Linked DNA regions of Daphnia pulex. The protein of the gene in region 3 purifies or fractionates together with the protein of the main gene of each other region. This does not show direct contact. Links are inferred from orthologs where the notes say so. Each region holds a gene or a part of one and is shown on either strand. Other genes may lie near its edges.

Region 1 (4,174 bases), on a different chromosome or scaffold from region 3:
AGGTAATATGATTTATTACTTTTGTATATTATCAAATAGACACCAACGAAAATTTCTTCTGAATCTTGATTTTATGACTTGTCCGGCTGCATTCTAGTTTCGCGCATGATTAGTAGGCCTACAGCAACCTACTAATGTATCCTACCAAGTTACATTCCCTCTGATATTTTTCAATGAAAAAAGAATCTTAAACTCTACGATATGAGACTTTAATTTTTTTATTTCCGTTGGTGAATGAAATATTTGAAATAAGAATAAGAATAAACGCGCAAACATCTACAGATCATAGAATTGGAATTTAGAAAAGTGATTAGTTAAGAATAGTGTGTCGATCATAAATATGTCGACGTTGTTCTTGAACAGTTTTCTTCCACTTATCAGTAGTTTGGCCAACACGGTTGAGCACACCTGCTCCACTTGCCCTTAAAGGTTGAGAATGGGTTTCACTTTCATCCTGTAGGATAAATTAGTTAAAAAGATGATTGAAGGAAGAAAAGGGAGAAATTTATAGAATACCTCTTCATTATTATGTTCTTGATATTGTGTAGTGGTTTTCTTGTTGAGAAGGGGATCAAGACAAACAAGAAACAGCATGTATATGACTAGTAGAGATATTATCCAGATAACAATAATTACAACAACCTGAAATTTAAAAAAATTTATATTAGAATAGTCTACAATACATTATGTCAACAGTTTTTTTGCCTTGATTGTTGTTGTGTTCCTGCTTTCGTACTTGCATTCACATCGTGGACAAAATTCTTTTTCCTTTCCTTTGATATCATCCCCTACCCTTGGGAGCACAACATTTGTACAATCACATTTGTTAGGTGGAACATTTTCAATGTAAAGTTTTCTATGTGACTGAGTTCCGTTTACTACGGCGGTATCTGGACAAATGCACTTGCATCTGACATCCTCATACTGTGCATTCACCTATTAGGACAAAAACAAACAAAACCAAAATCATTAAATTTCTAAGCAATGTTTTCTTAATAGTAAACATAAAAATCAATACATCACTGATGAATGAGAAGATGAAAAGGACGAAAAAAGAAAGAAAGAAACTCTTTCGAAGTGTCATAATTGCAGCAAAATCCGATACTGATTTGTCGGAAACAAAACAGCTGACAGACTGTCGACCACAGCTTGTGGCGCCAACTGGTTTGCTATTTAAAAAAAAAAAGAAACATTGTTTTTGTTCAAAGAGGAAATGGGTCGTTAAACATGTATTACAGCAATAAAAATTTAAACGTTACTGTGGAATTGAAATTTAATTACTTATTCTTTTTAGTTCTAAATAAACTTTTCTCCATTTTCGCCACTTAGGAGCCCCCATCTGACAACACTGTTTTGTTCCTAGCGCGCCATCTCGAAATTCTACTGTTACCTAAAAACGTGCCCAACTCTGTCGGCTGCGAAGTGCGAACTGCGAAGTTTGGAGGACGTTGTACTCGAAGTAGTGGAAAAGATTGTGTTAAAAGAATCAAGAATTCAAACTATCTGAGTGCACTGGAAATTGGAATATATAGGTATGGCCCATTTCAATCTCATTTAAAATTATGAACTGCTAATGCTAATTGTGTTTTTTTTTGTGATTTTTCCGAAATCCCAGAAATCGTGGGACGTTCATTTTCAGAAGAAAACGATGGCGGATGATTTACCTTTTCGAGCAGAATATGCAAAGACGGGTCGAGCTAGTTGCAAGAAATGCAAAGAAAACATTCCTCAAGGCACTCTACGACTTGCTGTAATCTTTCAGGTAACATTTTATTTTTTATTGTTTGGTTCTGGACTTTGTACACTAGTACAGTATTGTTGTTTTAGGCTGCCAAATTTGATGGGAAAATGGTTTCGTGGTACCACTTTGATTGCTTTTTTGAAAGGCAACGGCCCAAATCAGCTGGTGACATTGAACATTTTGATCAATTGCGCTGGGAAGATCAAGAGAAAATTAATCAGATGCTCAAAAGTAAAACATTACTAATATTGCTATACATTGTATTTAGTTGATTTCTAACTATTTCCTTTTTCCAAAGAAATCAGTGAAGGTGGGATTGCTGAACCAAGTAAAAAAGGAAAAGGCAAGGGGAAAACAGCTAAAGTTGCTGAACCCTTTTCTGATTTTCTAATTGAGTATGCAAAATCTGGGAGAGCTGCATGTCGAGGCTGCTTAGAAAAAATTGCAAAAGTATTATAATCATTAAGTGCAAGTTCTAAAACGATCCATGTTCAAACATGTCTATAATGTTCAAATTGTAGGATGAATTGAGGATATCAAAGAAAGGATACGACACCAAAGGAGGCATGAGACATGGACAAATGTTGGATATGTGGTACCACGTCAAATGTTTTAAAGAGCGACGAGAAGAATTAGAATTTGTTAGCGGAGTGGATACAATCCCTGGATTTAAAGATCTAACTGCCGACGACAAAAAAGTTCTCTCAAAAGAACTCCCTGCTCTTTCCGCTAAGTATTGACAAGAATCGAAATTTGGAAAATCATGTATTATAACGGTTTCTTTTTTCAGCAAACGAAAAGTTGACGGGGATGCTGTCGACGGACCTTCGGATGCAAAGAAGATAAAGAAAGAAGAAAAAGAAAATGAACAGCTCAAGGAAGAGATCAAGAAGCAAAATAAAATTCAGTTTAAATACAGAGACCAGTTGGAAACTCTGACAAAACAAGAACTCCAGATTCTGCTGGAATACAACGATCAGCAAATTCCTTCTGGAACATCTGAAGTACTTGCACTTTTTATTAATATTTTTATTTTCTTCTGAGTGTTAATCAATATGTCGCATAGTTAAACTATATGCAGCTATTTATCTTTTTAGATGTTGGACCTTCTTGCCGATGTAATGGCGTTTGGAGCTTTGCTTCCATGCAATGAATGCAAAAGTGGACAGTTTTTCTACAAGTGATTAAAATAATAGAAATTTCAAGTCGGTAAGCCTTACCTATATAGATTTACTTCTTCTTCTACAACAGGAGTGGCATGGGTTATCAATGCTCTGGAAACATGAGTGGCTGGACGAAGTGCCCCAACTCGACAACAACTCCCGAAAGGAAACCATTCAAAGTTCCATCGGACCTCTCGGAAAATTACTCATTTTTGTAATAAGGCTGTTGTTGCCATACATTAAGTTACTTTCTAAACTTCATTCTTCTATAGGAAAAAGTACAAATATGTTCCCGGACAGAGGGTAATCCCAGCGCTAACTCGCACTATTCGTATGAATCCAACCGAAGAAGTGAACGTGAAAAAAGAAAAGTAGCTATTTACTCAACTAGATAACGTGCTAGTTCTGTCTATTAATGTTTTCTTTTTCTTTTAGATCCGATTCGAAACGCCCACCCACACTAGAAGGCTTGAAATTCATTCTTGATTCCAAGCTTGAAAAGTCTAAAGAAAAAGTCGAAGCTGAAATAAAAAAATTACTAGGTTCTGTAGGTTCGCGCGTTACCGAAAAAATTGCAGCCGTAATTTCTACGAAAGGTTAGAAATTTGAGTGGGTAGTTTCTCTTATGAGATTAAGCCTTTATATGTGGTATTACTGTTTTACAGACAATTTAAAAGAAAAGGATTCAAAGTTGAAGAAAGCGTCTGAACTCGGTATTCATGTTGTAGACCTTAGCTTTTTGGATGCAATCAAAGCAAGCACTGGCGAATCTGCCTCATCCATTATAACGAAGAAAAACATCGCACCATGGGATTGCCACAGTGTAAATTTTTTTTCTTTTATTGCCCTAATTTTTGAGATTTTTTAAAAACTGTAATAAATCTAGATCGAGAAGCGTCTTGGTTTGGACGAGTCGGGTGCCACGAAATCTTCTGGAAAATCGAAAGGCTCAGGTTGGTTGGACTGTTTATTACTTTTAATGTTTCCCAGTAAAAACTGTAGTATAAGTATGGGGGAGTCATACGCTTTAAACTTGCAAGTAAATCAAGTTCAAGGTCACAACTCAATCCTAAATTAATTGAGTCGTCTGATGACTATGAAGGGATCCAAGTCTGCCCTCATAGACAGATACGCGACTAACATATTTGTTGATTTATTTCACGCTAAAAACGAAGCTGAATCTCGTAACTAAATTGTGTTTTCGTTTGCAGAAAAATCTGGTTCAGGCATGTCCGATAAACTGAAGCTGAAACTTAAAGGAGGAGGAGTA
Region 2 (3,600 bases), on a different chromosome or scaffold from region 3:
AGGCGTGAATTCCGCAGCAATTTAGCTTGCTTCGGATTTCATCCACACGAATTTTTGAAGTTTTATTGTGGTGATAATTAGAAATGTTTTCCTTCAGAGAATTTTCGGTTATTTTGGAAAAGCGAAGAACCATTATTCCTCCCACAATTACGAATCCAAGATTTAGTAATACGAAAACCAGGTACTGAAGGCGAGCAGTGCGATGCAATCATTCATCGTAGCGAAATATTCCATTTAGTCAAAGGAGAAAGAAAATTACTCTAAAATCTTTTTTTGTTTTTTTTTTTTTATACAAACACGAGCTTACGCAAGATATCAGGCATTTTTTCTCGCCAAAGGCACCACACATCCCGAATAGGCTAAGAAATATGAGTAGACCGCTGACGGCAATTGCAACCACGATGTTCATAACCATATATTTGTCGTTTACCACCAAAAATTTCTGTTTGTCTGATCCTTTTGCAAATTCTTGACGTTGTACAAGTGACGACGCCGACAAGGAGATTAATACAATGCCGCTCAACTGCATTTCAAAGAATATGTCAGTATCATATTTTATGAAAAGCAATAACAAACCCAGTCTTCCAAACGCAACATTTAATTCGATAATTTCAACCATCTTCAGTTAAATTCTTTAGTAAACTCACGTTGGAATAATATAACTGTTAATATTTTAACAAATCTACAATTACATTGTAATAGAATAATATGTTTACCAGGATTAACAAGTTGAGGCACAAAAAACTCCATCGTAAAATCTTGTGGGAACGGAACGTAACCTCGTCCGTCATTTCCCTTTGACTGTTTTTCCAGTTACTATTTCAAATCGGAATGAAAGCCCGTGTGATAAGGAAACTTACTGTACCACTAACAGGAAACCCAAAATCCGAGTAAAAGAAAATACATTTGCAAACAAGCAATACAGCCGGAACCCAAACGGTATAAAAAAGTGACGTCTATCATTAATATCGTAATCCATAAAACCACGTTGACTCCACCAGTTGGTCTCACGCTTCGAAGTTTTAACTCCTGAGATGGTCACACGATTAAATAAGTAAATAACCAGAATAACCACTGCGGATCGCCTACTGTTCTCTAGGTTAAAGCCCAGCAGTGCGCAGTCAAAATTGTACGCGCGTGTATCCAGGTCGGATGTATATCACTCCAAATAACCTTTTCTTTTGCTTATTTCAATAAATTCTCTGCTTTAACAGCTCTAATTAATTTTCTTATCCTAATTTTCAAATTAGATAGGAATCGTTATGGCGTCTACTGCGCGTATTCATCATAGATTAAAATCTATTTTTATTGGATGGTAGATGGCGGTGAAAAGGTCTTTCCACAATCCGCACTTTACTTTACTTTCATCCGCATTTTATAGTTTATTTATTAAAAGCGTTTTTGTTGTTTTCCGCTTTAGTGTCAGAATATCTGACGTTAATTGGAATTGTGCAATTACGTTTTCGTATCTATTTTATGTGATAGTGTTGCTTTTTTAAATTCTTTCTCGATCCTACAGCACCCAATAGTTTCTTTTTTAGAGAAGAAAATGAGTGACAGAGAACACAAAGATCAGGGGAATAAGTTGTTTTTAGCTCGACGTTTCGATGAAGCAATTTCATGCTATTCCAAAGCCATTGTAAATTTCTTTAATTAAATTAAGCATAAATTATTTTGTTTTGCAACGCGTAAATCAAAGTAATTGTAATTGTTTTCTTTAGCTTAAAAATGGTTCTGTTCCACAATACTACACAAATAGAGCTCTCTGCTCTCTCAAGCTTGGCCGTTGGGATGCAGTAGTGCAAGATTGCAAAAGTGCTTTAGAGTTAGACAACACTTGGGTGAAAGGTTTTTAGTATAAATTCTTCAAAATACTCTGAAAATGCTATATATTGCTATTATGTTTAGGGCATTTCTTTCTGGGCCAAGCTTTAATGGAAAAAGAATGCTATGAGGAAGCAATAAAACATCTTCAAAGGGGTACTCATTTCCCCAACTTAACATAAATTTTGAACACATAAAATCTGATTATTGAAATTTGCTTGTTATTAGCCCGTGATCTTTCGATGGATCAGAAACTTAATTTTGGGGATGATATTACCAGTCAGTTAAGACTGGCAAAGAAGCATCATTTTACAAAGCAGGAGGAGAAAAGAATTTCACAAGAAATCGAACTACAGGTAGTCTGTTAATAACATTCTCTTTGTCCACTCCACTTTGCAAAAAATTATGATTCATTTGAAACTTGGATTTTATTTTGATAGATGTATATAAATAGGCTCATTCGAGAGGATCGAGATCGACAAATCGATTTGGTTAGTCAAGACAAAGAATACAGTTCAGTGGAAAACGAAATTTCGAACATAGAGAACGTCACCGTGAGCATATCTAGAGTATTTTTCTTGTTTCGTTAGTAGACTAATAATACTTGATTAAAATCGGTAGGATCGCTACCTGGCTGAATTGAATGACCTTTTCGCAACCGTCGATGACCGAAGAATGGTACTATAAATTATTCAACTGTGTGTTTCAGTACGTCTTATACCATTAAGAAATTGTCTTTGTAATTGTGTCGGTTAGAAACGTGAAGTTCCAGACTATTTATGTGGCAAAATCTCTTTCGAGATCATGAGAGATCCAGTCATCACTCCTTCAGGAATAACCTACGATAGGAAAGACATCGAAGAACATTTGCAGGTAAGTGAATTCAAAATTGCCTAGTAGATATTAGCCAAAAGATTTGTTTTTACGCAGCGAGTTGGACATTTTGACCCTGTGACGCGAGTTAAATTGACCAAAGACCAATTGATTCCAAATTTCTCCATGAAAGAAGTTGTCGACTCGTACCTGACCGAAAACGAATGGGCTCAGCACTACTAACCACTTTTTTAAGGATCATTCATTGATTTTGATTCTCTTAAAAACTCCGCCGCATTGTATTAAATGAAATCGATATATATTATGATTTGAATCGCCGAGCCCCAGTTGTGATGTTTCCTATCGGGTTGGATGATAATCAGGAAGTAAATGTTGCTATACAGTCTTTCGCTATTGATTGCACATTGCTGTTGTACTTCAATAGACGATGCTGGAAATTTTATATATACCTGATTATGAACCTCCTATTAAATTTGATTTTATTGGGATCAGAGTTCGCCTTGAGCAGATTCTACACCTGTAGGATTGCTCCAATCTTTCAATAGGTTATATTCTTTAGACTAAATTATCGTCTCCTCTGACAATTGTTTGTGGGTGATTGATTTTATTACTTTAGCCAAAGGCAATTGATGATTTGCAGCCGAACTCTATTGGTACGTTTCCTTTCATTAAGCACTTAATTGAGCTTGGCGTGGTTCGTTGTGGATGTGGCCAAGGACAATTGTATCAGAGTTGGTTAAGTTGGTCATTAATCAGGGGGGTCGACTTGAACGGACGGTACTATCGATCCTGGTACAGCACGGGACTGGACCGATATTCACTTAAATTATAATAAACGTCCCATGGGTAAATTGTGTTTGCCACGTCGTCAACTACAGTTATTATCTTATCAGCACTCTAGAGAGAAGTCTGTTGTGTATCTTGCAGTGTGCATACAAGGGC
Region 3 (3,586 bases):
TTTAATCACCCATTCAATTTAGTTAAGATATTTCATTGTGGTAAGCTAAGCTGTATGAAGAATGGAGGAATGTAAATATGAAGTAACAACTGAAGAATTTTTTTTTTTCATTTACTGGGTTGAGACCATGTACATAGCTATTTTCTGCTTGCTTTTATCATCACACTCGAAGACAAAACATTTTTTTAAAGAATAAATCCTCAGTGGAGAATTTTTTTTTGTTTATTCTTTTCATATTTCACATAAGTTGATAGGCTGTGTCGTATTCATGATTTCATAGGCTGCCGACTATTTGGACGAACAAGCAGAAAAAGCTGGCCGAGTTCTCCGAAAGAGAACTGCAGGAACGCGCAGCTGGTACCATAAACTCATCGGCAAGAAAACATCGGATGGTTCCGAGGCCTTTTATATTGGTTTCATCGGAGGTTCTCTGGCTGGATTATTTATTGGAGTAATTTTTTAAGCGTTAATGATTGATGCATAGACCTTAAAGACTCCAGCACTTGTAGAAAGATGTATTCATGGACAAAAGTCAACAGACAAGAGAGAAATAAATCGCATAAGGCCATTCGGAGCAACATTTTAACAGTTTCTAATTGTAATAATTCTAGTACGACACTATTCTAATTGACACTTAAAAGGCCTTGGGGAAACTAGCATGTATCAAATAAATCGAAAAGTTCGCCCGTCACCAATACAATGAAGTTATACATAGTTAATAACGTTTCCTGTAACCCCCTCAACTTCACCTTGTTAAAACAAAACGATAAATCCGAGCTACCAGATAACGTCAAATCATAAATGAAGGCACTGAAATTTAAGACATTTCTTCAAGGCATGTGTTACACACAATTTGGACCGTTTAAATTACTCGAGGTCCGTGAAAGCCAAGAGTGGTGGTGCAAAGTTAACTGTCTGCATCAGAAAAAAAAATTTAATAATAATGGAGAACGAGCGAGAAGCGCAAGAAAAATCCAGTTTTAAGGCTAGTAATCATGGCCATACAGGGGGACGGGTCACCAAGACATTTTCAAATGATATATCTCCTGCTTCGTATTCGGTTTGCGAGTGGCTTGTCAAAAACATTTGGACAGGGTATGCAGAAAGAATCATTTGACGAGCACATTTACAGGTAATTCAAAGGCATTGAAAAGGAACACACAATTTTGACCGACACACGAGGGAATTCCCAGGCATCTTATTGCTTCACACGTTTTATAGGCACGTCAGTTTCTCTCAAGACGACGATACTGGAACGGGCGCGCGACCGGACCGGGATCTCATCTTTTTTTTTTTACACCTAGAACCATCTTCCCTAGAACAAGAACCTACAGTCATAGTTGCATATATGTTTTAAAAAGTGATGGTTTCGGAATCAAACGAAACAAATATCGAAAATCTTGTTAGCTCCTCCTTCCGTTTCCCAACAATAACTCTTAATACGTAAATGATAAGCTAGTACGACAATGCATAATACGCATTGTGAGCTAATCTTCCTCTAAAACGTTTGCACTTTCAGAACCGAATTGTTTTTGATTAACTCTACCGCTAGTCGTTAGCTCTACATATTCAAAATAATTGCCAATTTCTGAATATTCGTTAAGATGAATCCCATACTAAAGGTTAAGGCCAAAATGTAAAAGTTAGTTGATCACGCCCAATGCCAAACCAATAGATGCGTAAACTTCAAGACGTGTTGAAGAAAACCATCGACGATATTGGCATTCCATAGAAGATATTTATAAATTTGGGATTCAACCAAGACGAGCTGTTTCAGAGCCAAGTAAGGACGTTGTCGACTTTGTTTGAATTCAAAAGAACGTCATTCAGGATGTCCGTCGATAACTCTTCTCCCAACTGTTCAAAAATAATTGTTGTTTTAAATCGAAATGACATTGTGAAATGTATGTTCTTACATCCAAAGTAGGTACGAGATCGTCAGTAGTGTCCATATGAGCAGGTAGATCGCCAGCCTCTAATCCTCCATTCATGTCGTTCATGTCGTTCATATCGACAGTGCCAACAGAAGCAGGACCTAAACAACGTAAACAATCCGTTACTAAAAATGTGAACTCAACGATGTGAAACAATGAATAATATAGGAAAAATTAAACTAAAATAAAAATTTAAAAATTTAAATTAAGACTAATTTTAAAAATCAAAATTACAATCAAGCGTAGTGTCCATTGTGTCATCCATAGAGGCGAGGAAATCCTCGGGTGTGTGAGGTAAGCTATAACTGCCACCCATACCCAAACCAGAGTCGGCCGACTCTTGACGAGCATGAAAGTCGGTAGCCAATGACGAAGGTGGAGCTGTCGAAGACTGAGGGATATTTGTGGCCGCTCCGTTTCCTGTTCCATTGACGCAAGTATGGGGAACGGCGGCGGTAGCAGCAGCCGACGCTGCACTAAGAAAAGGATCCACCGTGTTGGAGCTAAGCTCGTTGGCCGCTGCACTGTTGCTACTCGATTGCGTATGAAGAGGATTCCGTCTCATGGCGAACTCCGGTTGCTGTTGGGAACCGGTGCTGTTTTCTTGCTGACGGACGCGAGTTTCTCGTTCCATCTGCAATGAATTCATCAATGGAAAACAAAGATCACACAACACCTTCACATGAACTAAAATACCATGGCTATAATTTCCTGTTGTCTCTGTCTTAAACGATCCTGCTCCTGCTGAAGTCTTTGCAATCGCAATTGTTGCTGGGCAGCCTGGGCAGGCGTCAAAGTTTGCTGTGAAGTTCCTATTAAATAAAAATAAAAACATCAAATTGAATGTTTACCGTCAGCACTTCTGAGATTTGTTTTCATAAAATAAGCCTCACCTGAAGCAGCTGGCTGCTGAGTAATCTGTTGTTGTTGCTGTAAGGCGGCAGCGCTCTGTGTTCCAGCGGCGTGTACCATGGGTGGCTTCTGCATGTGAATAGCTGATGATGGAACAAACAGAAACGAGACATTAGCGTGGCGAGCAAGTGGGGAAAAACAAATAAATACAAAATAATAAAAGAAGTTGCTATTACGAAGGCGAGGATCAAACCACGAAGTCTTTCTCGTGTGATGATCAATGAAATAGAGTTCTCCTTCCGGAGTAACTGCTTGTTCCCATCCATCCGGTAGAGGACCCAAAGCTTGGGTTAAAGCTTGCTGAGATGCCGCCAAGACAGCCGCTGCATTACTTCCTGTTAATTGAATGAAAGTTACATAACCGGAAAGCCAGGAATTTGTATTGTTTCACTTACCGGCAACTGGCGCCGTAACGGCACTGAGTAAAGGTGGAGCTACCATGTTTGGTGGAGGAGCCGGTGACAACGGCTGAATCTGTTGCTGCAGTAATTTTTTCCGTGGATCCTCCCATGTTGTTGTTTGAGTCAGGTGACTGTAAAGAAGAAAAAGAAAAAACACATCAGCAAGATGAAAATCGGTAGAATGTCTGACACGTAAATAACAAATTATTTGACAATGATAAACGGCAACGCTAAACACACGCGACTAGACACAATAGTCTAGGACAAACCTGACTGAAATTGTTCGGTACCATGTTGGAAAGACCTTGGATTTGTTTCACGCTAATAGAATCAGATAAA
Region 4 (2,741 bases), on a different chromosome or scaffold from region 3:
ATTGTTGAAACTTCATCTCTGTTTTGTGTGCGATGGTGGTTGGTTGTTTCTTCTCTGGCATCACTTTTGGTATCACTTTTCCAATCCATATCAGCCAAATCATTTTCAGGACTGATGACGGTAATGGAGCTGGAAACTGACATAGAGCTATGGTAACTTTCATTTACATTCGTTTCTTCTATAGAATCAGTCAGAACCACATGATCCAGCTAAATGACATGAAAATATAACAAAATACAATCAAATACTTCTTATTCCTGAACAACTTTATCATCTATTTATTTTCCTTACCTCATTGGGATTGCTTTTTTTTTCAAGGTCTCCTGCAGGAATGGATGTTTCAGTATGGGTGCTTAAATCTTTAGCTGTTGTTTGAAGTACATTTGAAACTGGGGCCTGAAAAACTGCTGCTATTAAACAAAATTACTTTATTATCAATCGAATGACTTGACACACACATGTTTAGTACTTTTTTGCTGATCTCTTTCAGACTTTGAGTCTGGTTCACTCACTACGACATCTTCTGAGCTTGTTCTGGTTTCATCAGGTGGATCATTTTCCTCTTTCACCAAATTGAAGGATTCAAAGAAGTGTCCAATAATTTCTTGAATGACAAATCATGCAACAGAACTTGTTATTAAATACATTCATCTATCATAGTAGGCAACTGAGATACATATACCATTTTCAATTGGTTTATTTCCAACAGCATCTGGATCTCTAATGTCAAGTGCTTTGTCTATGGTTTTTTGGGCTTCTTTTAGTGCATTTTTAGCCAAATTTGCAATGCTACTGGTATTGAGCCAGCTCATTTTCGATGTAGACGGTAGCCACGTCAGCAATAGCTTTCAGCTTTTAAACGACAAGCAAATATCCGAAAATTCCAAAAGTAATATCTCTCATAAGAATCTAATACAGAAAGCCCTATTTTTTAAATACTTGCCTCATAAACTATAATTGGGCCGTCATTAACACAAATCCAAAAAAACAAAACAATCAAAAGTTGTAATTTCTAGCAGACAAATGTCAGAAAGCTATTGCTTTTTGTATTGCATAACATGGTTGCTCAAAGCATTTATCTACCCTACTTTCGATCGAGTAAAATTTTCCAAAAAATAATTAGCATCGTCATCTATATGACTCTAATTTTCTAAAGAATTAATACAGATACTATGTCATCTTATAACTGGTTTTAAAAGCAATTTAAAATCTAGTCTGAACTCTGAAGGCAACGTGTGAAAGTACGCTCTACAGGAACGATATGGCAATGTTGAAGTTATCCATTTCTAAGACCGAGAAGTCCCATCAGAGTCTTTTCGCTTTGCCTTTGGTCAGTCCCCAAGTGGTAGAGAAACAATGGTAAAGACTAGCTCGTTTTCATCTAAAATTATCTTTTACATCCTGTATTTCTCAAATACTTTTTAGTAACGTGCTGATTTGGAGTGATTGTTGGATGTTTTTACTAATCGATGTATTGTAATACCTCTTTTTTCAGGGTATTGACATCAACCATAAGTACGACCGTAAAGTCGTCCGACGTGAACCGAGGTCTGAAGATGTCTATCTTCGACTTTTGGTGAAGGTAAGAATCATTGAAATTTTGTGTCATTGGACTATTTTGTAAAATCGTTTCGTTTACAGTTGTACAGGTTTTTGGCTCGTCGTACCAAGGCCAAGTTCAATCGCATCATTTTGAAGCGATTGTTTATGTCGAGGATCAACCGTCCACCACTGTCGGTGTCTCGCTTGTCAAGACATATGAAGAAAGCCGGAAGAGAAGGAAAGATTGCTGTTGTCGTCGGAACTTTGACAGATGATCCTAGGATCTTCAAAATCCCCAAGCTCACGGTAACTTTTTTAAAAAATTCATTTTGCAATATCGTGTCTTATGGTACATTCCTTCTTCAGGTGTGTGCTCTGCGTGCAACAGAGAGAGCTCGAGCTCGCATCTTGAAAGCTGGTGGTCATGTTTTGACTTTCGATCAGTTGGCCCTGCGTGCACCAACAGGCAAAAATACTATTCTTATCCAAGGGCGGCGCAAAGCTAGGGAAGCTAACAAACACTTCGGACCTGCTCCTGGTGTTCCTGGATCACACACTAAACCATTGGTTCGCTCTAAGGGACGGAAATTTGAACGTGCTCGTGGTCGTAGGTCATCTTGTGGTTACAAAAAGTAAATTTCTTCTTTCGAGAAGTTTTTGTATTGGTTATCAAAAGATTAATACAATGCTTGTAACCAACTTCCTCTAATTGGGTATGCACAAACTCTAATTGGGTATGCATAAATTTGAACATCAATGTTGTATTCAATGATGTATGAACACTTACATGCCACTTGTTTAAGTGGAAATATGAGACGTGTTACAGAACAGGCGATCGTAGTGTTCGAGTACATCATTTTAACAGTTTAGGGGTAAGAAAATGTAACTTCCAGGTGAAATAGTTCAAATAACTGGCAAACAAGACAACTTTCATGAAAATCGGATCAAGACTACAAATAGAAAGTTGGAACTGCATACAATGGACACTTGAAGTCTGGTAGCACACGAACAAATTGATTGCCACCTGAAAACTTGACACAGCACGAACCTTGCAAGCAGTGTCCTTTTACATTTCATTCCTAACTGTTTGGTGATACGAGATAAATATATCGCAAGTATATTAAGGGGAAGTTCAGGCGAAACGAGTAGACTACACTGCTTTAAATTGACGATTACAAAGACACAAGTCCTTTATATCG
Region 5 (4,223 bases), on a different chromosome or scaffold from region 3:
AGAAAAAGAATATACCTATCGATCGGTGCTCTCTCTCTGCCTTTCCACCAGTTGTTGGATGGGGGTGAGCGCAGAACAGAACACGAGTTTTTTTGTGTGTGTTAAAAGGAAGAAGAAGAAGAAGAACTCTGGGGCTCGTGTGTGTGTGTTTCTTTTCTTCTCCTTCCTTGTAGATGATGACACTGTCGGATTCAGCCCCGCGTGGATTTGAAAAGAGACGGGGGGCTGTTCAATCTCCCACGGTCCCCCCTGGAGGAACTCTGAGTCTCTTTGGTAGAGAGAGGAGGATGTGTGTTGGCCGCTATGAGGACGGCCTGCGATGTTCTCTCAACGCCATTGACCGTAAGACGAGAGAGAGAGAAAGCCGTGAGATCAATAGATGAAGGAGCTTGTTGGGAAGACTTGGCGCCAGGCTATCAGCGAGGGGGGAGCGACAATGACACACACGACGACGACGACGATGAGGAGGAGGACGACGAATTTTATCTCTTCCGCAACGAGGAAAAATAAAACCCAACACTCGAGACGGTCGTCAAAGACCACGACTCTCTAGACGCTCACAGACCCACACACACACACAAAAGAGTCAAGGGCGATCGAAGAGGCTCTCCACAGTTATTTTCTGGCGATTTCTTCTTCTTTTTCACTTGGTGGTGATTGGGCACACGACAAAAGGGAAAGGAGAAATCCTTCTTTTTTCTCTTTTTTTGGAAATGGGTAAAAAATCACAAGGGGAACAACAATCCGTGAGATGTGAGCGGTGCGAGGACGTCGGCGGGCGTCGGCATGTCGACGCTATCGCAGAGCCCGATCGCTCAAGAACTTGGAGCTCGACTGCCATCCAGACCGATGGCTGCGTCCGCCGAGTCTGCGCCATGCAAGCCAATCTTCCCCTCTCGTCGCCTCTCAACTCCTTTTCTTCCTTTTTTTCATCCGGCGATGGAGGAGGCCGACCTCAGCGCCCCACGTTGGACGATTTGAAACTTGAATGTTGTGTACGCTCAGGATTTTCCCGCTACTCGAATTCGACCTCAAAATAAAAGGGAGCAGCTCAGCAGCTAAGCGTGTGTGTGAGTCAATAGACGCCGCTGGATCTTATCCGTTGAAAAATAAATAAATAAAAGACAAGGCTCCTGTTTACTCTGGCCAACGCGCGGAGTAAATAACAAAAATAAGGGGGGAAAAATTCGGAAGAGTTTGTGTGTGTTGATTCCCGAGAAAAAATGTGTAGCGGAATTTCATTGTCGAGATCAAAAAAGAAATTGGTGCGGTTGTTGCTGAGTGGTGGAGAAGGAGGATGTACACACGACTGATGAAATAAGATCTTTTCTTACCTTCCAGCGATTCCGGTTGGTTGTATCTCTTGAACGAAGATACCCAAGTCTCCTTTGTGATCTGATCTCAATCCAACGACGCTGAATCCCAAGCTTTGTCCTTCCGGCTTGTTCAGCTATAAAAGAGAAAGAAAGAAAAAAAGAAGGTTTTTTAAAAAATTGTGTTTTTCCCCATGTTTTTTAAAAGATGGTAGGAGGGGGGAACAAAGGCAAAGAGAGAGAGAAGAAAGACTTATTGATTCAATTGAAATGGAGGTCGAGGACCAAGGAGGACGAGTGCTCTTCATCTCACTTCAAACTCTGGGGACTCTTTTCACGCACCACGTCAAAAGACCAAATTACACGCTCTGTTTCGATCAAATTCTGCTGATCAATGTTTCGAACCGAAAAGCACGCGCCCCCCTCCTCTCCTTCCTCCTCTTTCAGGAAACCGCAAAAAGGAGATTGGATACAACTCGCTTTTTGTCTTGTGTGTGCGTGAATCCTTTTCATTTCTTTTACTAGCCACCAAGTAAGGGCGCTCCAATCTTCAAGGAACAATTGACTTGGCGAATATGAAAGGGACGAGTTGCACAACACGGCACCGCAATGGGGGCCAAAATGCCTTGTGATGTCTCAATAGTATTTGTTTTCTCTTATACCTGAATGGCAATGATTTCTCTCTTGGCAGCTGCCTGCAGGATGGACTGTTGAAATGCGGCTCCAGTTTTGGCCACATCTCTCTTGTGGGTCTCTGGTGAGACTGTGGATTGCTTGGACGAGCTGGTGTTGCTCAGGGAAGGGCTCGACTTCCCCCCTTTGGTCTTGAATGATGAACGATTAGTCTGGAGGATGTTTTGATTGACAACCAGGGTCCCTGATTTGTCGATGTCAAAATCACTTGGCAGCAGGGACGGGTGGTGCATCAGATGTTGGTTCAATTCCTCAAGCGAGTCTTCCAGCTTGAGGATGTTCCTGAGCACAGGGTTCTGCAGGAGGCTCGTGAGGAGGTCCAAGTCCGTCTGGACCTGGGAAGCCACACCATTGCCTGCATCGTTATTTGTAACTTTTTGCTGTACTCGCTCAAGAAGAGCCAGAGCCCTCTTGGCATCTGCGATCAAGAGAGTCAAAACGAACAAGAAAAATTAGCTCACTCCAACAATGGTTACTACACTCGTTGAGCTCACCTGAAGTCACGGGCATTCCCACAGCGTTTTATAATCAGAGGCGGCTATTCACCTCCGCGAAACCTTGAACAAGGAATTCAATCGCAATTTCAAATGGGGAAACGAAAAAACGTGCTGTCAAAACGAGTCACACTTACCGTCGAAAAAAGCCAACTAAACCGAAAACGAAAAGCAAATAAGGTGACAAAGGAAAAAGGAACGAAAAAATCAAACAGACTTGAATTCCAACATAAGATCGCCCTCCCCTCGAAAAAAGCCAACACACACGGGAGTGAATGAAACACAAAATGCACCTGTTTTTCGTATGGCAAGGCGAAGGTCCGACTTTTTAAATGCGAATTCCAATGCTGGGCCCCCACCTCACGCAGCGCTCTGCGGCCGAATTTGGCAACACTGTTCCAGCCCCCTTTTTCTATAAGAATTTCAATTTAATCAACTTTAATCGGGTTTCACTTTACTAAAGAATTGAAATAATTAAATTCCATTCAATCCACTTGATTTTCAAGTTTATTCGCAACTCAATCGTAAGAAATTTGATTTGGAATGAAATAAAAGTTGTGAATGTCTGCCACCAGATGGCGTTGGTTGAAGGAAACCGACCAAAATCGTTGGGCGCCAGACTAGGCTAGGGCCTGAAACCCAATCAAAAAGGCGGGTCTAGTCTCCCGCATTCCATTCGGGCTCCGACGTTGTCATATACACAACACAACAGTGCACAGGACTGGCTGCACAAATCACCTCCGTGTCTAATCTCGTTAGCACTCCCTCCCGGCGCGGCCTCCCACTTTTGTATTTAACTATTCTATCCCCACCCCCACCCCCCCACCTTCCCTTCCTCCAAAACTAAACTACACGCTCTCTCTCCCGGTGCGCACTTGGAGCGTGTTTCCTATCGTTCCCGAAAAACTTGCTCGTCCGGCACACACACACACACACACACACTTGCAGCTTAATACCAACCGGAGGAGTCGTGCCGAAGCTCCCAAGTCCGGCACTCACGACAGTACATTTTATTTTGACATTCTTTGAAATTCTTTTCACGTTTTTATTCCGGCCAAAAGTTATTCACATAAAGCCGATTCGCCCTAGTGGACCATTTGGCACAGGCATTCACGGGCGAGGAATAAATCTGTAGATTTATCTTCCATCCATTTATGTATTTATTATTATATAAATATATAAAAGGGGAGCGCGATGGATCTAGAAAGATAAGCCATTGTGTGCTTTGCGAGCGGAATGTATAGAGAGACTTGTGTACAGTCAGTTTGGTGTGTATTTGACGCGTTTCCATAATCCTTGGGCGCTGCTCTAGGCATAACAACAGGCCCCCAAATAAATCGATTTCAATTTCCAAAAGTGCATATCTTTGTCTGTCTGTGTGTGTGTCGAGTGTTGAGAGAATATATATACAGCTCGGGAATAAAAGGGGGGAAATACAAACACACACAAAGAGGAGAGGATTTCCGGCGGAGGAGTTGGAGGAGAGGCGAAATGTGTCCGGCGATAGATTAGACGGCTATTGAATGATCCGGAGGCGAGGATTCTGCTGAATGCTGCTGCTGCTGCTGTGGCTGACGTTGTTGTTTATTGTTGTTGCCGATGGAATGGGTCGGACCTCCACCATTCCGGCTGGCTTTGGGGCGGTGGACAATGCTGCTGCTGGACGAGGAGCTGGCCAATGTTTTGTCGCCCGATTCCATCAAAGGATTCAACGTCCACGACT
Region 6 (4,039 bases), on a different chromosome or scaffold from region 3:
TAACTTCTTTTACTAAGCAATTGTTCAGTGTATCAGCTGTAGTAGATTATAGGACCAGTACAGAAGGACGAAGCAAAAGAGTGGGCTCGAGCAAAAAGAGCGGACCACTTAAGGGGGGAAAAAACTGGATGCGAGTTCAAGTTAGGACGTAAGCTGTGCATCGACAGTGCAACTTTAACAATGACTCCTGTCTTGTTCACGACGGCGAGGTGCTGCCTTAATGATGTCATCAACGCGAAGAATCATTTCAGCCGCTTCAGCTGCTGATACAAGCACCTGGCGCTTGACAACGAACGATTCAGTCACGCCCAACTGCTGCATACAGTCGATCTTGCCGAGATCCATATCTATTTACAATCAATGAACACATTTTAGAATTGCATGTGCAACATGAAGATTTTCTGACGACATACTTAGACCAAAGGTGGCTTTCCCTTCTGAATGTGCTGCTCGGAGCTCTGACACAAGTTGGGCTGAGTCATAGCCCGCATTGTCGGCAATCACGACGGGTAGCTGGAGAAGAGCGCGGGCGAAAGCCTCCATAGCCATCGATTCTTTACCCGGAGTCTTGGCAGCCAAAGCATATACTGCCATGGCCATGAGTACTTCGCTGCAACCTTGGGATTTTGAAATAAAATGGTAAAATCCCAGGTGCACGACGGATAACATGGAATACAAAAATAGTACCTCCACCGTAGACGGTGCGTGTTTCCTTAACAGTCGAAGCTAAAACACACAGAGCATCGTGAATTGAACGTTCAGCTTCATCAAGAATCTGTTGGGTTGCACCACGCAACACAAGTGTGCAAGCTTCACCCAATGGAACGCCAGAGAATCGCAACAATTTGTCTTCACCAATCATGACCTAAAAAACAAATTACGTGAGTTCTTCTTTCTACCAGAAAGTGAAAGTTGCTCAACCTCTTCGATAAGATCACAGCGTCCAAGTTTGACAAGTTCGGGATGGCCAAAAGTAGAGACGATTTCACCTCCAGTTACCAACGCAAGGCGCTCGATACCATCAAAGTCGGCGTGTTCCACAGCCATAACACCGGCATCAGCGAACAGTTGTTCTGGGTAGTTGTAGATCAATTGTCTATAAAATCACACAAATAAAAAATTTTTGATTTAAAAATCAACCATAAATTATAAAATTTACTACAGAAATTCTAGAATACATGGATAATAAATAAGCTAACTGACAGAATCTCAAATATTTCATAAACAAACAAAAGAATTTCTGAAGCCATATAAGATAGCAAATTTCAAATTAATGAAAGAATTATGAAAGAATGACAAACCTGTTGATAAAGACGGTGCAATTGTGCTTAAGAATGAGCTCAATCTTCTCCTTCATCTTTTCTTTCTCAGCCAACTCTAATTCTGCAACTTTAGCAACGGAATCAACGCGGATACGTGAGCCGAAAACCTAAAAATATGGATTAAGTTCAAATTCTTTGATAGTCATCGAAGTTTAAATTACTTTGATTTTATCTGTGTCCATGGGTGTATTGGCAATAAGGATACGGGCATTTTCAACCCTCTTTGGTTGGTTGACTCCCGGTTTCTTGTCAAGCAGAAACCCAGTGTCGAGGAAGGAATCTGTGAGGGTACCTCCTTGCTTTTTGATGATTTGAATAGCTTGAAGGTTACCTGATCCTTTCAAACGTAAAACTGCGTCGACAGAGATCTTGGCAAAGAACTCTTTGTGCTGAGAAAGAATTTTTGAGCTCAAAGTCGTTCGAGCAATGTTCATTAAATCCTCGCGAAATTTAGCTTCATCTTTCCTATAAATGAAACGAGATTTTAAAAAAAATCAATACATTGATCAAATACATGTTGTGTTGGTCTTTTGTGCAAAATGAAACTATTATGTCTATCTTACCCATTATCAATAGCTGCATTAGTAAGAGCCTCTTTGGCAGCCTGAGAGGCCTTACGCCATCCAGCAATGATGGTTTGAGGGTGGAACTTCATTTCAACAAGCTTATCAGCTTCACGCAAAAGCTCTGAGGCCAGGACAGTCACTGAAGTTGTGCCATCCCCAACTTCAGCATCCTGGGTCTTTGACATGTCTACAAGGACTTTAGCTGCAGGATTATCAACTCCAACTGCTTTCAAAATGGTGGCACCATCATTTGTTACTTCAACCTAACAAAGGAATTTAATGACTAAGTAAAATCAAGCACAAGAAAAATCTTAAACCTACTTGTCCTTCATTGCGGCCAACACCAACAAGAATTTTGTCCATGCCCTTAGGACCAAGAGTGCTTTTCACCAGCTCACCAATGGCAATGGCACCAACAAAACAGGACAAGCGAGCAATTTCAGCCTTCTCTTCTTCACCCTCATGTTTCAAGATTCTGGTTGGGTTGAGTGAGACCTAAAAAATACATAAAGTTATAAAAGATTACATGATCATTTGGTTCCATTTACTCAGAAAGAAAAAATTCAGTATGAGCAAATTTACATATCAACCATGTGACTTTCTGTCAAATGACAGTACGCCATTAAAACATAAAAGAGAGAAAAAAACCGACTTTTCACAATTGATTATTGAAAAGTGAATTGCGACTTTGATACAGACAAGTAAATAAACGAGAAATGACGAATATCGTACCATTTTTAGATAGCCGGCTGAAGTGATTCGGTTCTGACTTGCAAAATTACGTTCAACCACAAGCACGAGGACTTCTCTCTGTGGCAGAAAGAAGAAAGGTGTAGCTGGAAACCGTTTAGACGAACCTGATCCTTTGCCGCTGGACGTCGCCTCGGAGTCACACTAAAACGCGGAACGTACATGCAAAAGATTCAACTTGAACATCATATAGGCCCTACCTGCGTGCGATATCTGCAAAAATATTAAGTTTGGCATTACTTCCGCCAGATTATTAGATTGGAACCAACGATCGAATTTGGAAGTACGGTTTGAAGTTAGTCTCCAATTAATTTGTTTACAACCTATTTTAGAGTTCTTACTCTGAGCAAGTTAGCATCTTACAAAGGCAAGTATTTTTGGTTTACGTACTCCTTGAAAAACATAATTACTTGTGAGTATTGAATAATGTCAATATGTCCTTTTGTTAATCGATTTGTCTTGCGTTTTCAACATTTGTAATGAACGAAAACTCCCGCTCCGCAGTTCAATTTGACGTTTTAGGGTTGTCGTTCACTCGTTCCATATTTTTTCCGTATTTTGTTTCGCGCTTTATTTATTAAGGGGCTATCGCCGCATTTCGTTTGTCAGCTGTTTTTTTCTGTCAAACAATCTATCGCTATTTTCGAAGATGGCACCACTGTATATATATAGAGGCTGTTGTAAAACTCGGAAAACATTTCAGGTGAAGTTCCCACTGAGTCGATGTGTCAAATATCATTTTAAATTTAACCTAGTGGTGTTAATATCGAATTAATTGTAGGGTTCTTTTATCAATTTATTGTTTTGAAGGCTCGAGTGATGTGCTGCTGGATATGCTAGTTTATACGAATTTGATTCTTTGTGTAATCTAGTGTGATCACTGGGTTTCTGAAACTTCACTATCCATAGCCATGCCAACTTCAACTGGTATAAATCGTAACTAGCTTTATTTATTTCATTAAATCAACTTTCTAGGACAATGATTTTTACACTTTTACTTTTTTAAATAGGAAATATGCATCCTAGTAATGAAGAGTGTGGGATTCGGGAAGTCTGGGCTCACAATTTGGAAGACGAATTTAGACATATACGCCAGATTGTACAAGCATACAATTATGTAGCCATGGATACTGAGTTCCCAGGAGTAGTTGCCCGTCCCATCGGTGAATTTCGCAGCCCTGCTGATTACCAATACCAGCTTTTAAAGTGTAATGTAGATCTTCTGAAAATCATACAACTGGGCTTGAGTTTCCTGAACAAAGACGGCAAAACACCTTCTGGGTACACTACCTGGCAATTCAATTTCAAGTTTAATCTTGGGTAAGGTTTCTAAACCAAATTATTTCTCATCTGAAGACTATAAATCTTAATCTTTGTTTAATAGGGAAGATATGTATGCAC

The links. Proteins that work in one complex are often made in the same cells at the same time.
Region 1: the proteins of transcriptional coactivator YAP1-A-like (region 3) and poly [ADP-ribose] polymerase 1-like purify together in Homo sapiens (affinity purification with mass spectrometry, with the first as the bait; 3 studies listed by BioGRID). This does not show direct contact. The link is inferred for Daphnia pulex from reciprocal best matches to the Homo sapiens genes YAP1 and PARP1.
Region 2: the proteins of transcriptional coactivator YAP1-A-like (region 3) and E3 ubiquitin-protein ligase CHIP-like purify together in Homo sapiens (affinity purification with mass spectrometry; 3 studies listed by BioGRID and IntAct, with this or other methods). This does not show direct contact. The link is inferred for Daphnia pulex from reciprocal best matches to the Homo sapiens genes YAP1 and STUB1.
Region 4: the proteins of transcriptional coactivator YAP1-A-like (region 3) and 60S ribosomal protein L18-like purify together in Homo sapiens (affinity purification with mass spectrometry, with the first as the bait; 4 studies listed by BioGRID). This does not show direct contact. The link is inferred for Daphnia pulex from reciprocal best matches to the Homo sapiens genes YAP1 and RPL18.
Region 5: the proteins of transcriptional coactivator YAP1-A-like (region 3) and multiple PDZ domain protein-like purify together in Homo sapiens (affinity purification with mass spectrometry; 6 studies listed by BioGRID and IntAct, with this or other methods). This does not show direct contact. The link is inferred for Daphnia pulex from reciprocal best matches to the Homo sapiens genes YAP1 and MPDZ.
Region 6: the proteins of transcriptional coactivator YAP1-A-like (region 3) and T-complex protein 1 subunit beta-like purify together in Homo sapiens (affinity purification with mass spectrometry; 3 studies listed by BioGRID, with this or other methods). This does not show direct contact. The link is inferred for Daphnia pulex from reciprocal best matches to the Homo sapiens genes YAP1 and CCT2.

What each region holds. Positions count from the first base shown.
Region 1 is NC_060024.1:8,492,887-8,497,060, forward strand, and holds the start of poly [ADP-ribose] polymerase 1-like, read left to right. Parts: upstream 1-1,374; 5' UTR 1,375-1,532; intron 1,533-1,615; 5' UTR 1,616-1,648; coding exon 1,649-1,762; intron 1,763-1,827; coding exon 1,828-1,972; intron 1,973-2,039; coding exon 2,040-2,191; intron 2,192-2,262; coding exon 2,263-2,474; intron 2,475-2,531; coding exon 2,532-2,745; intron 2,746-2,838; coding exon 2,839-2,921; intron 2,922-2,992; coding exon 2,993-3,118; intron 3,119-3,176; coding exon 3,177-3,275; intron 3,276-3,339; coding exon 3,340-3,500; intron 3,501-3,569; coding exon 3,570-3,727; intron 3,728-3,790; coding exon 3,791-3,857; intron 3,858-4,115; coding exon 4,116-4,174. Other genes in the region: uncharacterized protein CG1161-like, read right to left, coding at 311-454, 517-642, 706-936, 1,019-1,084. UniProt on the Homo sapiens protein: Poly-ADP-ribosyltransferase that mediates poly-ADP-ribosylation of proteins and plays a key role in DNA repair.
Region 2 is NC_060019.1:9,014,910-9,018,509, reverse strand, and holds E3 ubiquitin-protein ligase CHIP-like, read left to right. Parts: upstream 1-1,353; 5' UTR 1,354-1,549; coding exon 1,550-1,639; intron 1,640-1,721; coding exon 1,722-1,848; intron 1,849-1,908; coding exon 1,909-1,980; intron 1,981-2,052; coding exon 2,053-2,180; intron 2,181-2,264; coding exon 2,265-2,378; intron 2,379-2,445; coding exon 2,446-2,502; intron 2,503-2,580; coding exon 2,581-2,697; intron 2,698-2,754; coding exon 2,755-2,880; 3' UTR 2,881-3,100; downstream 3,101-3,600. Other genes in the region: CD82 antigen-like, read right to left, coding at 1-184, 308-523, 717-791. UniProt on the Homo sapiens protein: E3 ubiquitin-protein ligase which targets misfolded chaperone substrates towards proteasomal degradation.
Region 3 is NC_060025.1:6,891,490-6,895,075, forward strand, and holds the end of transcriptional coactivator YAP1-A-like, read right to left. Parts: intron 3,379-3,586; coding exon 3,242-3,378; intron 3,182-3,241; coding exon 2,828-3,181; intron 2,747-2,827; coding exon 2,631-2,746; intron 2,569-2,630; coding exon 2,169-2,568; intron 2,036-2,168; coding exon 1,917-2,035; intron 1,858-1,916; coding exon 1,774-1,857; 3' UTR 501-1,773; downstream 1-500. Other genes in the region: FUN14 domain-containing protein 1A-like, read left to right, coding at 281-463. UniProt on the Homo sapiens protein: Transcriptional regulator with dual roles as a coactivator and corepressor. Critical downstream regulatory target in the Hippo signaling pathway, crucial for organ size control and tumor suppression by restricting proliferation and promoting apoptosis.
Region 4 is NC_060017.1:4,092,350-4,095,090, reverse strand, and holds 60S ribosomal protein L18-like, read left to right. Parts: upstream 1-1,255; 5' UTR 1,256-1,356; coding exon 1,357-1,359; intron 1,360-1,495; coding exon 1,496-1,582; intron 1,583-1,641; coding exon 1,642-1,848; intron 1,849-1,908; coding exon 1,909-2,178; 3' UTR 2,179-2,241; downstream 2,242-2,741. Other genes in the region: TATA element modulatory factor-like, read right to left, coding at 1-209, 292-410, 470-604, 683-812.
Region 5 is NC_060026.1:2,899,295-2,903,517, reverse strand, and holds the start of multiple PDZ domain protein-like, read right to left. Parts: upstream 2,801-4,223; 5' UTR 2,638-2,800; intron 2,564-2,637; 5' UTR 2,517-2,563; coding exon 2,501-2,516; intron 2,425-2,500; coding exon 1,976-2,424; intron 1,451-1,975; coding exon 1,335-1,450; intron 1-1,334. Other genes in the region: Down syndrome cell adhesion molecule-like protein Dscam2, read right to left, coding at 4,009-4,223. UniProt on the Homo sapiens protein: Member of the NMDAR signaling complex that may play a role in control of AMPAR potentiation and synaptic plasticity in excitatory synapses. Promotes clustering of HT2RC at the cell surface.
Region 6 is NC_060023.1:8,135,619-8,139,657, forward strand, and holds T-complex protein 1 subunit beta-like, read right to left. Parts: upstream 2,801-4,039; 5' UTR 2,624-2,800; coding exon 2,621-2,623; intron 2,384-2,620; coding exon 2,210-2,383; intron 2,152-2,209; coding exon 1,886-2,151; intron 1,788-1,885; coding exon 1,484-1,787; intron 1,430-1,483; coding exon 1,302-1,429; intron 1,097-1,301; coding exon 922-1,096; intron 866-921; coding exon 688-865; intron 618-687; coding exon 414-617; intron 348-413; coding exon 175-347; 3' UTR 5-174; downstream 1-4. Other genes in the region: CCR4-NOT transcription complex subunit 7-like, read left to right, coding at 3,550-3,574, 3,649-3,958, 4,023-4,039. UniProt on the Homo sapiens protein: Component of the chaperonin-containing T-complex (TRiC), a molecular chaperone complex that assists the folding of actin, tubulin and other proteins upon ATP hydrolysis.